Linked DNA regions of Kluyveromyces lactis. The protein of the gene in region 2 interacts with the protein of the main gene of each other region in a biochemical or structural test. Links are inferred from orthologs where the notes say so. Each region holds a gene or a part of one and is shown on either strand. Other genes may lie near its edges.

What was found. The genes of interacting proteins can lie anywhere in the genome.
Region 1: the proteins of MIA40 (region 2) and TIM10 form a complex in vitro, tested with the Saccharomyces cerevisiae proteins (4 studies listed by BioGRID, with this or other methods). The link is inferred for Kluyveromyces lactis from reciprocal best matches to the Saccharomyces cerevisiae genes MIA40 and TIM10.

Annotation. Positions count from the first base shown.
Region 1 is NC_006042.1:2,403,039-2,405,223, forward strand, and holds TIM10 (protein transporter TIM10), read left to right. Parts: upstream 1-1,410; coding exon 1,411-1,680; downstream 1,681-2,185. Other genes in the region: RCO1 (Rco1p), read right to left, coding at 1-296; SDD2 (Sdd2p), read left to right, coding at 578-979; cytochrome c1 heme lyase CYT2, read right to left, coding at 1,978-2,185. UniProt on the Saccharomyces cerevisiae protein: Mitochondrial intermembrane chaperone that participates in the import and insertion of multi-pass transmembrane proteins into the mitochondrial inner membrane.
Region 2 is NC_006040.1:228,369-231,402, reverse strand, and holds MIA40 (Mia40p), read right to left. Parts: upstream 1,838-3,034; coding exon 617-1,837; downstream 1-616. Other genes in the region: mRNA splicing protein SPP382, read left to right, coding at 1-240; palmitoyltransferase YKT6, read left to right, coding at 2,237-2,839. UniProt on the Saccharomyces cerevisiae protein: Required for the import and folding of small cysteine-containing proteins (small Tim) in the mitochondrial intermembrane space (IMS). Forms a redox cycle with ERV1 that involves a disulfide relay system.

The DNA of each region.
Region 1 (2,185 bases), on a different chromosome or scaffold from region 2:
TTGTTACTGTTGTTGTTACTCGATCCCTTCGGCTTCTGAGATAATGGCGTCCCTGTCATAGCATTTATTGGATCATGCACTGGCGGCTCCTGAAACGTTATATTTCCATTACTATCCTTAAGAATGACTGGTCCAATAGGTTCTGTCGATGGTTCTTGGGACGGTGATGAAGATATTGAGGATGTACTTTTCGTTGGATAATCATCACTTGGAATAATCCGTCTCTTTTTCAGATTATAATCCACATTGGCAGTACCTGACCGTTTGGGCCTCGTTACCTCCATATTTTTTGTCATGAAGCCGGAAAGTAGATGTACTGGCACGTAATTTTTTTAGCCGGTACTTTCCCCTACTCGTTGTTTCGCGTTGAACCATAATTTAATTCAATTGTTAGATGCGTTCAATTAAATTTGTATCGCACTTTTTTATTTTTTTTCTGTATTCCAATATCACGAACCTTCGATAGTTGAAGTCGTATACACATACCAGCTATATCAATGATAATGGAATCAAAATGTATATAGTTACGGGAACAGGCTGAGGCGTCACCAGTCACATTAAAATAATAGAAGCAACCATGGACGACGAATTGAGAGCCATTAGAGAGGCCAGATTGAGGGAATTGAAGCAACAAAGTGGAGGAACATCAGAATCAGCAAACAACGGATCGAATGATGGTCAAACACAAGCGATATTGAATCAGATTTTGGATTCCAATGCACAAGAAAGATTGAGCAGGGTAGCGTTGGTGCGGCCAGAACGTGTAAAGGCAGTAGAAGCTTATTTACTACAAATGGTGCGGTCCGGTGCTATTAGAAACAAATTAACAGAGCAGGACATCGTTGGAATCCTCGAATCAGTCGGAAGAGATGAGCAAAAGCGCAATACTACACGTATTATATTCGATAGAAGAGAAAAAGGAACAGCATCATCTAGTGTGGATCAAGATGACGATGAAGACGATGATTTCTTTGACTAGTTATCTGTCTTCAATATATCAGGTTTTAACAGAGAAAGAAAGTAAGATATACATGCATATATAATTACAACGAATGAGAACTCAATCCTCATAAGTACCAAATAATTGCAAGAATCGGTAGTTCCAAAGGTTCAATGACTACTATAGGTCAATGCTCCCTCTGTCAAATCAATACATGTCCAAATCACGTGCATGTGACCGGGTAACGTATATTTCCTCATATTTCTGAAAATTTTCAGTATAGCAACTATTCGTCAGGAATTGCAGTTCACTAAAATTTAACTAATAGCAGTTAAATGCGTTGACAACTAGACTGTTGTTTGATCTGTAAATATTTATTGACGTAGTTTATCGTAGTGATTAGTCTTCTATTCATAGCCACAGGAATACCACTCCTACAATAACAACATATAAAAATCATCTTCTAAGAAATGTTCGGTCTAGGCGGTCAACCTCAATTATCTTCTCAACAAAAGCTATCAGCAGCTGAAGCTGAACTAGATTTGGTTACTGACATGTTCAACAAGTTGGTCGACAACTGTCACAAGAAATGTATTGAACAAATTTATAACGATGGTCAACTAAACAAGAACGAATCTACTTGTATCGACAGATGTGTTGCCAAGTACTTTGAAACTAACGTTAAGGTTGGTGAAAACATGCAACAGCTAGGCCAAGCTTTCTCTCCAGGTAAATTCTAAACCCGATGAGGGAAGCTTAAGCCGGGACGTTAGTGCATAATCTTTTTCGCAACTTTTCACGTTTTATCATGTACATATATGACAAATTTTGTATATACAAATATATTATATATATATATTAATTATCTATTTACAGAGTTTTAAAAATGAGGTAATGTCGGAGTACCAAACGATTAGGTTTGTGTATCTCGATCAAACCGATAAATATAGAGATATAAATGTATTTGCTAATACCGTGATGTGTTTTTGTCCATTATCTTCCCTTAGGATTGAAAATTTGGACGATCCCTTCTGTCTTTAAAATCCTAGCATTTTCATAACGCGTAATTTACAACCTTCAAAAGTATTCACTTTTGGTCTAACGTCCAAATATATTGGAGGAAGGTGGTTCTTTTCAGGTTCTGGATTCGAATAGAAGTCGATGACATAATCTATTTGTTTCCCGCAGCGATCGACGACCCAATCGTGCCTATCAAAAGGTTTGGTCATTCCAAGGATTGAGGAT
Region 2 (3,034 bases):
ACTGTTGTAGAAACTTTTTGTCATGATCATGGATTATCCTTCAGAAAAACTGATAATGATACTGCCTCAATTAATATATTTGGCAAAGAGAAGGTAGCTCCGGTATTCACTGTGAGTAAATATAACAATAAAAGAGTAAATGTAGTCCTTATGGGAGATATTTTATGGTTACAAAGGAGAAACAGAACAGAATCAAGATTTGAGCCAATTTTTCTCTACCAATTACTGGATCTAATTTGAAAACAGAATAAGCATGGCATATCATTAGGAAAATGTCTTTATGTAGTGTTTATACACGCTATCAGAACATTTCATTGGATTTTTGTTCGTTTTCACATTGCCATTATGTCGAATGGAATTGTAGAATGTAATAAGAATGTATGTTAATTTTTTTTTTATTGGACAAAGAAGGCGAGTTCGATGAACAGGTCAGTTCATTACGAGAGCCATGGGCTTTTATTTGAATTGGATATAACACAAACAAGGGAACCACGTAATTTTTTTAATTTCTTTAGCTTTAGTTTTATTATCTTTGTTCAAACGTCAGAATTCATGATGCTCATTGGCAAATTTAAAAAAGTATCTTTAACGGCAGCAGTTCAGGGTCGGGAAGATTCTATTTCTTTTCATCGTCAGTGTTCGTGACAGCGGCAGCTTCAGGAGTATCCTTTAGTTGAGGGTTTTCTTCCACATATTTTTCCAAGACAGGTTCGAAAACGGCATTTTCAGTTTGTACTTCAACAGTAGAGGTGGCAGTTGAAACCGGGGTAGTGCTCTTATCCTCGATTTTTGAAGCTTCTGCAGAAGCTTCTTCTTCATCCTTGATTTGTTCAGCATAATAGTCTGGGTATTTTCTGAAACAATTTTGCATAGTGGAGAACTTCTCAACACAGTTGATACCCTTTGGATCAGCTTCAGAGTAGACAAAACATGAAAAAGCGGACTTAAACTCTTCACCGCAAGGACCGTATGCCATACCACCTAAACAAGGACAATCCCAGTTGATTTCACCAGTTTCTGGGTTGTATGCAGTTTGTTGTTCGTTTTTTTTTTCACCTTGAACACCTGCAGCCGCAGCAGCCGCAGTAGCGGACTGTTCAGCAGTGCCACCGGAGATAGACCGAATTTCAGCTTGCTCTTCTGCTTCTGTTATGGTCTCAGCTTCAGCAGGAGATTTTTCATGCAAAACAACATCCGATTCACCTTCTGAACCGTCTTTTGAGGCGGTTTTTACGGCATCTGGGCTTGTTTGTTGAATCTCCTTTTTGTCAGCTTCATCTTCTAAAACAACACCCTTGGCAGTTTTTGAGTCATCGAAGCTCAAAGAGGGAGCTTTGGTATCCTCGGAAATGCCAGTAACAGGTTCATTGGTGGCTTCTCCACTGGCAGCTGGTTCGGTAGCTTGTTCATTGACGGATTCAGCAACTGGCTCAATGGCAGCTGGCTCATCTCCTGATAAGGTGGCTGCTAAGGCCTGGTGTGTCTCCTCGCTATAAGTAATCTCGTTCTCAGGAGTAGTAACTGGCTCAGCACCTTCCTCCTGAGCAGACACCGGAGATTCATCGGCATCCTTCGTAGGTTCAGAAATAGATTGTGATTGGCCCGCTGCAGGAGTCTCTTCAGCAGGCTTCTCAGCAGGAGCAGGCTTCCTCTCAATCAAAGTAGGACACCCATCAGCAACGTAGATGGCACCAAGAGTACTGAACCCAGCCAACAACAATGCTGGCTTGTTCATATGGCTCACTCCACCGGAAGGTGGATGAGCACTGTAAAACCTAATTTGTCTAGCGGATCTAAAAGCAACACGTCTAGTAGCTTGTAAAGAAACACGGAACATTGTCTTCAAAAAAATATGTATATGCCTATAATCAATTGACTCGTCAGCAACTTTCAAACGTTTTCTAAGTGTACTGTAAAAATACCAAACCTAACTAAAAGCAAATTTCTTTCCTCCCGTTGTGGGTATCAATCAGCTTCTCTTTTAAATGTTCCTTTGACAAATTGAAAATGCCTTTGTTAGCAAAAAAAAGAAAAATTCGAATATCAAACAAAATGGATATTGAAGCATTGTGATATGAGGATGGGAAATGATGATGTATTTTGAAGATAACACGGAGACGAGAAGGACAGTGTTATAGTACACGTATAGGGGATCTAAGAATAGTTAAGTTTGGGCAAAATAGTAGCTTTTTTTCTCATTTGACAAGTGGGAGAAAACAGGATACAGGATACAAGGATGAAGATATATTACATTGGAGTTTTAAGAAACAGCGATGATAAGACCCTTGAATTAAGTTCTGTGAAGGACTTATCACAATTTGGGTTCTTTGAAAGGAACAGTGTTGCACAGTTCATGTCCTTTTTCAGTGAGACTGTTGCTGGCAGGACAAGTGCTGGTCAAAGACAGAGTGTTGAAGAAGGTAACTATGTAGGTCACGTTTACGCAAGGCCTGAAGGAATTTGTGGTGTTTTGATTACGGATAAGGAGTACCCAGTAAGACCAGCTTATACGTTGTTGAACAAAGTATTGGATGAGTATTTGGTAGCGCACCCTCCTATCCAGTGGAAGGACGTGACGGAGAGTGACGATTCGCTCAAGTTGAAGGAGTTGGATATCTATATTGCCAAGTATCAGGACCCATCTCAAGCTGATGCAATAATGCGTGTACAGCAAGAATTAGACGAGACCAAGATCACGCTACACAAAACCATTGAAAACGTATTACAAAGAGGTGAGAAATTGGACAATTTGGTAGACAAGTCCGAATCACTATCTGCTGCATCGAGGATGTTCTATAAGCAAGCAAAGAAAACCAATTCGTGCTGTATAGTTATGTAGACGGATTTGAAATAGAGGCCAAAACATGGCCAGCCTGATCATATATAGCCCTTGCTACGAGTATTAAGCATAATAGTAATCAAAATAAAGTAATAGTAAGGTTTCACCGGCGTTTTGACCGCCACCTTTGATCAGCCTTTCGTTCCTTCCTGTCCACTAGGGTCTGATTTATCTATCATCATCTGGCTGAGTACG